Linked DNA regions of Schizosaccharomyces pombe. The protein of the gene in region 1 binds, or shares a complex with, the protein of each later gene. Each region holds a gene or a part of one and is shown on either strand. Other genes may lie near its edges. The genes, in order: mis16, mis19 and hhf2. A codon is read from its position in the direction of its gene.

The links.
Region 2: the proteins of mis16 (region 1) and mis19 are in contact, whole or in part, in a crystal structure (PDB 6S29), measured with the Schizosaccharomyces pombe proteins. Residues at the interface, in NP_587881.1 of Schizosaccharomyces pombe: Trp33 (codon at 1,682), Lys34 (codon at 1,679), Val37 (codon at 1,670), Pro38 (codon at 1,667), Tyr41 (codon at 1,658), Asp42 (codon at 1,655), Leu43 (codon at 1,652), Val44 (codon at 1,649), Ile45 (codon at 1,646), Thr46 (codon at 1,643), His47 (codon at 1,640), Pro97 (codon at 1,402), Asn98 (codon at 1,399), Phe99 (codon at 1,396), Asp100 (codon at 1,393), Glu101 (codon at 1,390), Phe106 (codon at 1,375), Arg113 (codon at 1,354), Ala114 (codon at 1,351), Gln115 (codon at 1,348), Ala116 (codon at 1,345), Gly118 (codon at 1,339), Tyr120 (codon at 1,333), Thr121 (codon at 1,330), Ile122 (codon at 1,327), Asn293 (codon at 814), Tyr295 (codon at 808), Leu296 (codon at 805), Asp310 (codon at 763), Arg312 (codon at 757); in NP_595535.2 of Schizosaccharomyces pombe: Glu56 (codon at 2,310), Thr57 (codon at 2,313), Glu58 (codon at 2,316), Leu59 (codon at 2,319), Leu60 (codon at 2,322), Val61 (codon at 2,325), Leu62 (codon at 2,328), Arg63 (codon at 2,331), Phe64 (codon at 2,334), Arg65 (codon at 2,337), Glu66 (codon at 2,340), Phe67 (codon at 2,343), Gly68 (codon at 2,346), Val69 (codon at 2,349), Asn74 (codon at 2,364), His75 (codon at 2,367), Pro76 (codon at 2,370), Ile77 (codon at 2,373), Leu79 (codon at 2,379), His80 (codon at 2,382), Leu82 (codon at 2,388), Arg83 (codon at 2,391), Lys85 (codon at 2,397), Ser86 (codon at 2,400), Arg89 (codon at 2,409).
Region 3: the proteins of mis16 (region 1) and hhf2 are in contact, whole or in part, in a crystal structure (PDB 6S1R), measured with the Schizosaccharomyces pombe proteins. Residues at the interface, in NP_587881.1 of Schizosaccharomyces pombe: Glu29 (codon at 1,766), Leu32 (codon at 1,685), Trp33 (codon at 1,682), Asn36 (codon at 1,673), Phe39 (codon at 1,664), Leu40 (codon at 1,661), Arg349 (codon at 646), Lys357 (codon at 622), Gln362 (codon at 607), Asp366 (codon at 595), Asp369 (codon at 586), Gly370 (codon at 583), Ser371 (codon at 580), Pro372 (codon at 577), Leu374 (codon at 571), Leu375 (codon at 568), Phe376 (codon at 565), Met377 (codon at 562), Gly379 (codon at 556), Val415 (codon at 448), Ile416 (codon at 445), Arg419 (codon at 436); in NP_595566.1 of Schizosaccharomyces pombe: Ile30 (codon at 2,403), Lys32 (codon at 2,409), Ile35 (codon at 2,418), Arg36 (codon at 2,421), Arg37 (codon at 2,424), Leu38 (codon at 2,427), Ala39 (codon at 2,430), Arg40 (codon at 2,433), Arg41 (codon at 2,436), Gly42 (codon at 2,439), Gly43 (codon at 2,442), Val44 (codon at 2,445).

Annotation. Positions count from the first base shown.
Region 1 is NC_003421.2:582,231-585,984, reverse strand, and holds mis16 (histone H4 chaperone, CENP-A recruiting complex CENP-A chaperone Mis16), read right to left. Parts: upstream 1,860-3,754; 5' UTR 1,851-1,859; coding exon 1,766-1,850; intron 1,694-1,765; coding exon 1,588-1,693; intron 1,516-1,587; exon of another isoform or gene 1,500-1,515; coding exon 398-1,499; 3' UTR 92-397; downstream 1-91. Other genes in the region: SPOM_SPCC1672.11C (P-type ATPase P5 type), read left to right, coding at 1-79. UniProt on the Schizosaccharomyces pombe protein: Regulatory subunit of the histone acetylase B (HAT-B) complex. The complex acetylates 'Lys-12' of histone H4 which is required for telomeric silencing.
Region 2 is NC_003423.3:1,321,587-1,324,884, forward strand, and holds mis19 (protein Mis19), read left to right. Parts: upstream 1-2,144; coding exon 2,145-2,483; 3' UTR 2,484-2,788; downstream 2,789-3,298. Other genes in the region: double-strand siRNA ribonuclease Eri1, read left to right, coding at 1-247; ERMES complex subunit Mmm1, read right to left, coding at 366-456, 501-709, 873-1,514; C-5 sterol desaturase Erg32, read right to left, coding at 2,889-3,298. UniProt on the Schizosaccharomyces pombe protein: Component of the CENP-A recruiting complex that ensures the integrity of mitotic spindles through maintenance of kinetochore factors mis6/CENP-I and cnp1/CENP-A.
Region 3 is NC_003423.3:1,363,689-1,367,138, reverse strand, and holds hhf2 (histone H4 h4.2), read left to right. Parts: upstream 1-2,154; 5' UTR 2,155-2,315; coding exon 2,316-2,627; 3' UTR 2,628-2,950; downstream 2,951-3,450. Other genes in the region: protein Sfi1, read left to right, coding at 1-923; hht2 (histone H3 h3.2), read right to left, coding at 1,571-1,981.

The DNA.
Region 1 (3,754 bases):
TTTACTTAATCGCCGAACGAAAGTTTCGAAGAAACTATACAAACGCCTATTCGCAGACTTGCAAAATGAACAAGTTTGAGATATATTATCCCCCTTTTGTTGTTCAATAGATTTTTTTTGCTGTTATGTATAATATTAATAGTTACTATCCTTTTTACTTTATCATGGTCAAACAAAACATTTAATCTCTGGTGTTATAGAAATGTAGTCTGATTTATAACAGTAGTTTTGATGTATTTACAAGGCGACGAAGATCATTTGTTTTAAATTATACAAAAGCTGAAAAAAAGAGAGCAGTCAATTACCATATGACTCTGTATTGTAAAGAATATTGCAAAAAACAGATGAAGCGTAGAAGGATGGAAAAGTGAGTTTGGGTTTTTTTCTATGGCCAACTTTACTCCAGATCCCTAGGAGAAACCTGAACATGATCACGACCCCAAATGACACGAGAAGGGCTCCATATTTGAAGGATATTATCATCGGCAAGACTTCCAACCACCCAACGCTCGTTTGGACACCAACTAAATTCTGAGATGCGATTTGTGTGGCCTCCATGCATAAATAGTAATTCTGGAGAACCATCCTCGGCATCCTCCGGAGTCTGTTCCTCTCCAATCTTTTCTAAATCCCAAATACAAACACGGCGATCAGTTGAACTGGATGCCAATATAGGTTCATCATGAGGTGACCATTCTAACCCATATACCTCATCTTCGTGTCCTTCCAGGGTATGCAACCGTTGATATGGATTACGGAGGTCCCAAAGAGCTACTGTTTTATCAGCACTGGCTGTTGCTAAAAGATAGTCATTAAAGGGATTAATGGCAACGGCATTTATGGCTTTAGAATGAGCCTGAATAACTTTGGGAGCTTCTTCTTCTGGATTTAACCGAGTATCGTGAATTTGCAAAGTGCAATCATCCGACACCGATGCTAATAATGCCTCATGTTGAGGATGAAATTGAACATCGTTAACAATATCAGTATGACGATGATATTTGGCTATGGGGGAAATGACTTTTGTCTCAGAGGAAGTAAAAGATTGTGTCTGAACATCCCATAAACAGATAACTTGATCCTCTGCTCCTGTTGCTAGATTTCCAGGTAAATTCGGGTTCCAGCAAAGACCAAAACCTTCAGCAGTATGGCCCTTCAAAACTGCTTGAGGAAGTGCTTCACCTGTAGTTAAGGCATCATGACAAGTTGTATCAAAAATATAAGCATTTCCTCCTTCTCCCATGGTAGCGATGATTTCAGGCTTTTGAGGCATGTAACGAGCACGATTGACATCGCCATCGTGAGGGATTTTTTGTGAAATTTCAATCGTATACGAGCCCGTGGCCTGTGCTCTTCGAATCGTAGAAGGAGTAAACTCGGTGGTATCCTCATCAAAGTTTGGTAATTGCACAGAAGCAATCTGTAAATAATTTTGATCATTACCAGATGTGTGAGTGCCAAGAATAAGACGTTGAATAGAGTAATCAGTACCTGGTATTCTTCAAGAATCGAGTTAGAAAACTGATGAGATGGTTTGAAGTAAAGGCCAGTATAATCATAGCCTAACTACTTTGGCAAGCAACGTACGTTTTTTTGTCAGGAAGCCATTGAATTGTCAAAGAAGGCCATTCCAAAGCGTGGGTTATTACCAAGTCATACAGAAAGGGAACATTTTGTTTCCAAAGTTTGTATTCTGAAACGAGTATAATCGTCAGTAATTACGGCATAATAATATATATTAATGAAGAATTCCCTTTAATCATACCTTCTTGTATTGTTTTTTGTAAGTCTATCTCGGCATTGAGTTCATTATTCTCGAGAGGTGCATCCTGGACTACTTCCTCTGACATGTTTTGGGCAACTACACAATGGCCCAAACTAGATTGCCAAGTTAAAAGTTTTGGAGTTATAAGTAATTTACATTATTTAAAGATGCCCAAATAAATCTAGCGCACTCTTAAGTCTGAAATAAAAAAAAAATAAAATAAAATTCATGAACAGCGATATAGAAAACAAGTTTCAATGAGCGAAAACAAATTTGAACATGCCTCTAAAAACCATTACTTGATGCCACGTCTCCATGAAAACAGACATTCATAGTGAGAAGAATTCCTCAAACATCGTCTTTATCATGCTCTAATAATTATAAAACCATTTGGCAAAAACAAATATTATAATCTCAGTATACTTTGATAAACAGATTGTCATTATATTTACACTAAAAATAAAACTATTGAACCCAGCCATCAATGGGATATTTATACTGTTGGCTCTACGAATTGTTTTACAGTACACCGTAAATTTATTAAACAAATCATGTAGTATTGCAAACTTTGGGTACGTATCTAAACTAATCAAATATAAACTTTTTTTAATTAAAAATGTCTGGGAGACAATCCCATCCTTGACCCATGGAAAAAAGTCAACGACCGGGAAAGCCACTCAATTCTTCGCTGAAGACGGAACGGATGCATTTTCTTGGTCCGGAGACTCCAACCATCATACTTGACTTCAGGATTGATTTTACTTTACTTATATAACAAAGTAAGTTAAAACCTACTGATGATGGTGAATCATCAACTGAACAGACCCTATATATAGTAAATTTGTTGTGACGGTTTTTACCTTAGGTTAGGGTATTAGAAACGATGTTCTGGAGACTAAGTAAAATTTCATATGTAAACAATGGCTGAAAAGAGAAACTTGTGAAATGACTATGAGTTTTGGCTGATTTTAATTTATATGATTAGCTAGCTTTAATAGCACGTAGTCAGACTTTTGGGTACTTGTCGTGGAAACTTTAACATGCTAACTTGATAAATTATTCGATAACAGTACAATTCAAATCGTGTCTCTTATTTCTTTTAACCTCATCATAGCAATTTACTGATTTTAATTTAAAATATTTATTAAATATAGTTGTGAATTAAAAAAAAAAAATTCCCAGATGAGTACTTTCTTTCTAATGTTATTTATTTTGATATACTGAGGAATTTGTATACCGCATTGCCTTAAAATGCATGCCAACAGTGGTCTAGCTCGTTATTCGTCTCGACTTTTTTTTGGAATAATGCTTGCGTTTGCTAAGTATTTTGAGGAGGCAATTAATATCAGTATATCAATTATAAGAGAGGAATTTAGTATAATTGGAGTATATTTGCACGTTTTGAGTTGTTGATCGTAATCTTATTACTTCAGATGTTTTCATAGCGACTTCTGGTACCCATTGTATATTTATAATTATTGTAACAGTTTTTAACATTGCATTCTTTTTTTTTCTTGCTAAAGTAAATTCATCAAAATTTAGAGGTATTTCTATGAAAGATCTATCCATATCATGTAAATTTTTGTGTTGCCTACATAATCGAGCATCCAAACCTTGGTTGTCGGATACACCTTAATTAATCGGGGCACAGAAGAAATTGAAAAAAACAATAAGCAAAATAATTAAATTTTATGAACCGCAGTCTTAACAGTCATTATTATTAACCTGCTACTTCAAATGCGGTTTTGTTAATGACAGTAAAAAATACAAACACTTCAAAGTATTCAAAGATGAAATTTTCGGTGTGCATAAGCGTAAATAATCACAAAACTGAGAACAAACAGGTCATCAGTAAAAAAAGGCAAAATTTAGCCTTTAGGAAACTTTTTCTCTCTTTTTTTTGAACAAACGGATAACATCAGGGATTCGATATCTAGCAATAATAAAATAGTAACGTAGAAAACATTAACTAATAATAAATATACAAAA
Region 2 (3,298 bases), on another chromosome or scaffold:
TATTAGGTCTTTCTATAAAGACGTTTATCGCGTTCCACGCACAAATATTAATGGAATGCTAGAGCATTGGGGTCTTCAGTTTGAGGGAAGCGAGCATCGCGGAATAGATGATGCGAGGAATTTATCACGAATTGTTAAAAAAATGTGTTCGGAAAACGTAGAATTCGAATGCAATAGGTGGTGGATGGAATATGAGAAGAACGGCTGGATTCCGAATCGAAGTTACCCGCCATATTTCGCAAGCTAATGCTTAAAATTTTTATTTCGACTTCATAATCAATATATTTCGTGGAATCTGGTAGAGATAAATTATCGTTAAAATTCATAGATAAAAAAAATTTCCGAAAATTACGTCAAAAGAATGTTTAATCTTCATTAGATGACTCCTCTTGAGGTGCATGGGACCTCGCATGTCCTTCTTTTGCAGAGGTTGGCCATAGGTTGGGAATTGCGATCCTGTGGGAATTAGTTAGTATGAATCAATTCATACTCTCACTTACTGTTGAAACTGAGGAGAAACACAACGATTAGTAAACCATTGTCGAATCCTTGATTCGATCAATTGTGTAATTTTAGGAATGTCTTGAAGCTTTGACCTAGCTCCCACAAGAGAACTTACTTGTAGCGAGATCACGAAATTGGGGTCAAATGACAAGTTCATATATGCAGGCTGGCCTGCACCATTGCTTGGGGAAAAATAAATCATAATCTAGGACAAATGTTAGAAAAGACCGTTATTAAAAGACGAAAAAAAATAGTCTATCGTAGAATACCACTGTGATACGATTTAACACTTGATGTTTCAAACCCCCGGGGGAGGGGTGTAAAGAATCGTAGAGACTATATACTATTAAGGTTGTAAATAGACTTACCTTTCCGACAAATTTACAAATCCTAACTGTAATGGACAATGGTAAGGTTGCAAACGCAGGCTTTGGAAAATTAAGTAAAAGCTTTGTGTCAACGGTGCAATTAATATTGTCAGTCAGAGAAACAAGCATCTCCGCTCGAAGCTGTGAGGAATTATGCTGATGAGGTAGAACCCGACAATGACTGAAAACCGGAAATCCGTCTCCAAGCGATAAATCTCGCACGTAAATATGATCAACCATAGACTTGTCTTGAGCACCTTTGTTGAGAACAGTTTCAAGTTTTCTCAGGGCAACATCGTTGGAACATGCATCATAGCGAAACTGTATGAGAGCTTGTGCTATTAGTACATTAAACCAATCCAATGATTCCGGCTCATGTTCATTAACATCGTAAAGCAGATTGAGTATATGAGGTTCAAGGATAGTAAGAGGCTTTTTGTACCTTTTTTTGTTATTACTTAAAGGAGTTGAAGGAGTCTCGTCAGGTGTTTCATTCCCCGTTTGTTTTGGAGAGTTTGCTACAGACTTTGGAATTGGACTACAAAATAAAAAGAACCGCAAAAACACATAAATAATGGCCAGTGTCAACAATTGTCCAACTATTAGTCCTTGTGTAAAACTCCCCTGCGGCAGGTGTATCATTTTTGTTCATAAATATACTAAAATACCTCGAATTCGCTAATCCCGAGAATCAAAACCGTAAACGGAAAAATTAGTCTTCGCTCTACAAGAAGAGTATAAATTAAACGTCTCAAATACAAGAGTTAACTGCTTAGTAAGTTGAGGCTTTCTGTAATATATATATATATTTTTTTTTTTTCTTTCTTGTAGGTGGTCTACGTAGCATTTGCAATTACAGAGTTCATTGAGCCTATTTGTTTGAGTCCAAAACCGAAATCAACTAATTAAACTAATGGACTTCAATTAAAAAAGATTATTAGTAAATTCATTAAATAACATGATTTGTTTGAGAAAAGCAACTAATTATATCAAATTATTGACTTTAGATATATAAATCCTTTATGATAATATATATTACATTATGAAATTATAAGAGAATATTACTTTCTTGTACTCTTCACATGTGTATGGCATGCTCATACTCAAGGGTAGGAAATACACTAGTACGCGTTTTACTCTTCCAAAAGGAGTATTAGTTAAAGTATCTTTAATAAACGACAATAATTAGTTATTCTTTCTTTCGTATATTAACGGACTACCTAATTTTCGAAAGTTTCTCCGTCTGTGATATTTTATTAAAATGTTAAGCAAATGGATTTAATGCCGTTAGAAAAAGCAAGAGCAATTGAGATTGCATTTGATAATGTGTTTCATAATACAAAAATTCCGGACAATTTGCAGCAATTTGACGCCATATTGAAACGACTGGAAAGACGGAGATTTATACCAACGGAAAATCAGAAACCAAGAGTGTACGAAACAGAGCTACTTGTACTGCGATTTCGCGAATTTGGGGTGAAAGACAACCATAATCATCCAATAAATCTTCATTCTCTTCGGTCAAAAAGCTTAATCAGGGCACAAGGTAAAAAACTTGATTTACATAATCGAGTATTTCTAAGAAGAAATGTTAGAGCAGTAAAAATGTGATTAGTACCTTTTATACGATAATTTTGATGCATTAGTAACTTACCCAATGTGAACTTTACTGAACTTTATACACAACTTACTACAGAAAAGACTCAATCACTACATGTTACGCATATTTTTAAAGCGTTAATTTTCTATCAAAAACAAAACTGTAAGCGTTCATAACTTCTTTTCAACCCAAATTCACGTTTACATGAATTAAAGTCATAATTCAGCAATATTTTCCATTTTAGCAAAAAAAATCGATATGAGTAGCTTTAACAACACGGTGAAAAAATACCAAAAATAATAATTCTATATAAATCAAATCAAAAGCGGTTTTATTTCAGCTTCTCTCTCAAAAGACAAGCTAGAACATAAAACAAAAGAGAGGGGAGTGTATCAAATAATAAATCTTAAAGTGAATTAGTTATCCTTCTTGCTGGCATAAGTGCGATCATCTTTACCCTCAACGGTGTATTGAACTGTCTCCATAAAGCGAATGCGCTGCTCTTGCAATTTCTCATTGCGAAGTTCGGCGTCAAATAATTCTTGGTCTGGTTGACGATATGAACTGCAAAGACGATCAAACAAGGTGAAAAACTGACCATAATTGTAATTAAAGTACATATGGTGAGCAGCGTGATGAGCAGCACCATTTACGACAGCGTTGTTAGAAAAGTATTTGCCGTCGTGGATGAGTACGGTCCAATAATTTACTGATCCAAAAAGCAATAAGTAAACATACTTATTTAAGGGAAAGAAAAAGGGAAACATATGATATGGAAGGGATTGACTGTATCCATCAAGATAATGAAAAGCGTGAGAAGAGTAAG
Region 3 (3,450 bases), on another chromosome or scaffold:
AAATCGCTAAGCAATATCTAATCAAATGGCGTATTTCATTATTGGACATTAAAGAGCTATCGATCCGCGCGGAAAAACTTCATACTACTAACGAAATTATCGGTGTTTGGAATCAATGGGTAGTGTCTTATAATCGAAAGGTTGGAATGCAACAAAATGCTGATTTATTTTTCAAAAGAAAGACTTTGCGAGTTGTATTCGAACATTGGCGATACCTTCGTGAGACTAATATGTTATTACGACTGGAAAACAAAGTTGTTGACTTTCGAGAAGTTCAATCAGAAAAACTTGTGCTGCGATGCTGGAATGCTTGGGTAGCGCGGTTATTGTCGGTTTCTCAAATGCTTGACACAGCAGAGCTCTCAACGCAAAAAGTTGTCGTTAGAGCGTACGAAGCATGGTCTTTTCGTTACAATCACCAAAAGGAGATAATGTCTCAGGCAGACCAATTTTATAATGAACGACTAATGCGTTCTGCCATGGTTTTTTGGCGATATCAATTGCGTGCTATAAAATTTTATTTCAATATTAGTGATTGGAAGCGTCGTGAATTTAATAGACAAACGTTGCGAAATGCGTTTGATGCCTGGCATTTGCTGATGTTCCGAGTTACTAGCTTAGTAATGCAAGCGGATAGGTTCCACGAGCAAAAGAAAAATAAATTATTGGGCAAATATTTCCGAAAATGGTTGCAACGTATGCAACTTAATCAAGAAGAATCATCATTACTAGAGGCAGAAGCTACCATTGAGGGCAATCGCACTTCACGCTATATGCATACATTTGATACCACTTTGCCAATGCAAAATGATGAATTCACTGATGAGTCTGTAAATTTTGAAAATCGCTGGAAGCAGGAACTAAAGACTCCCATATCTCGATTTTCCAAGTTTCTGCGGCCTATACCTCCTAATACCCGTTGACATTTACGATTGACGGAGAGAGTTAGTTCTCTTTTTTTTTATCTAACCATTTGAAATGAGTTGAGAGTATATTGATAAACCTTTAGATATGTATAATATAATAGTCATTGCTTTGAAAAGTTTAATACATAGTCGAAAATTCGTGTAACAGTAGCATCAATAATCCTGCAACACATTACAAGTACGTGTGGAATACTTAAAAAAAAAAAAAAAAAACTTTAAGCAGGAAGTGAACGCTTCACTTGATAATTTTAAAAGGACTTTACCAAATCGTTAGGAGAGTAATGCTCCATAAGATGTTCAAAGCAAGTACTACGACTTACAGTAGCAGGCGGTCAAACAAATTTAAAAAAAAAATTTTTTTCTTACAATGAAAAATTTACAAAAATGAAATACGTATAATAAAAAAAAAACTATTTAAATTAATAAAAACAGATTAACAAAGGAAAAAAAATTAAAAACTACAAAGCTTTAAAACAGTGTTTCAGAATAAGTCAAGTGAGAAAGCAAAAACATAAAAATTAATATGCTAAACCCGACATTAAACCAAGGAAATATACATGACAATGATTGAAAAAATTAGGAAATGCAAAACTTAAACCCAATAAACACAATATACCAAATAAAATATTAGGCAATCAATGCATTTAAGAGCGTTCGCCACGAAGACGACGGGCCAATTGCATATCCTTGGGTTGAATGGTAACACGCTTGCCATGGATAGCGCAAAGATTGGTATCTTCGAAGAGAGAGACAAGATAAGCCTCGACAGCTTCTTGAAGAGCACCAATTGCGGAGGATTGGAAACGCAAGTCAGTCTTAAAATCTTGGGCAATTTCACGGACCAAACGTTGGAAGGGAAGTTTGCGAATCAACAATTCAGTAGACTTTTGGTAACGACGGATTTCACGAAGAGCGACAGTACCAGGACGATAACGATGAGGCTTCTTGACACCGCCAGTAGCGGGAGCGGCCTTACGGGCAGCCTTAGAGGCCAATTGCTTACGGGGTGCCTTACCACCGGTAGATTTACGAGCAGTTTGCTTGGTACGAGCCATAACGTAATTCGGTAAATAAACTTACAAAAAGGTTCTTTCCACGTCGGGTGTGGACACTTCCTGCTATATATACCTCAGTCAATCACAACCCTAACCCTGATTTAAGATTGCGATTTCGGCTTCCCCGCTACCTGAAAAAATGTATATATATATGGAGATGGACGCCTAACTACAGCACTTACACAGTAACTACTACGACTAGTACGAGAAGCCATTGAAATTCAAATCATAGGAATTTCAGTGTTTGCGCTTGAAAATTAGTTTTTGATATTGTAAATTGATCAATTGGTAGTCAGTTTGTTTGAACTTACAGGAATCCCATTACTCATATAAGATGTCTGGTCGTGGAAAAGGTGGTAAAGGATTGGGAAAGGGTGGTGCTAAGCGCCATCGTAAGATCCTTCGTGATAACATTCAAGGTATTACTAAGCCTGCCATTCGTCGTCTTGCTCGTCGTGGCGGTGTTAAGCGTATTTCTGCTTTGGTTTACGAAGAGACTCGTGCCGTTCTCAAGCTTTTCTTGGAAAACGTTATCCGTGATGCAGTTACCTACACTGAACACGCCAAGCGTAAGACTGTCACTTCCTTGGACGTTGTCTACTCTTTGAAGCGTCAAGGCCGTACCATTTATGGTTTCGGTGGTTAAACTGGTTGCACACTTTTCGATATTGAAGTGAATTGTATTTTCTTTTTCTTTTTTTCCTACTTTGCATATTAATAGTTGTTTCTCTTTTTATCTTTACTCATTTCTCTTTTAATATCCATTCAATGAATATTTATTTGCACGAAAATGGTTGGTTTTCCTTGAAGAAATGCAATTTTATTGAAGGGATTTGTTTTTCTTTCATTATGGATTGCACGTCTGAGAAATTTTTACCCAACCTTGTGTCTGACTTACTCTGGGAGTAAGCTCTGTTTTTAGAAATAAATAAATAAATTGTTTTTATCTAACATTTATGGGGGGGAGGACAAGAAAACACACAAATTTAGCCTGTAGTTATCACGTTTCATTAATGTATGTTTGGAAGGTTGGAGTCATATCATAACTATGCTAATATATTGTAGGCTTCAATTTGAGAAAAAATTGGGCACGAACCCATCTATTTATATTATACAAAGAGAACTCTACAAGCTGATTGTAAGGTAAATGTACTGAAAGCAAGCTGTCTTCTTTTCCCAACAGGGAAACTCATCTGTGCGTGAATTTATTACTCACGTATTGTGGCTATAATTTTTGATAAACGATGTGACTGTATTTTAAGGAAAAGCGGATTCTCGAAGCAAATTTTTCAGCTGAGTATCTTAGTGTATCGGTAGGTGAAGCAAAACTGGATGTCTTTGGTACACTGTCGCCAATAGCGATAGACGGGCATTTGGCAAACCGTTTTATCACTCTGTCGGAATTGAGAAGCGTAAAGAGTGAAATTTCGCTTTCATCTCGAAATAGCCCACGTCCTCCTACTAATTTA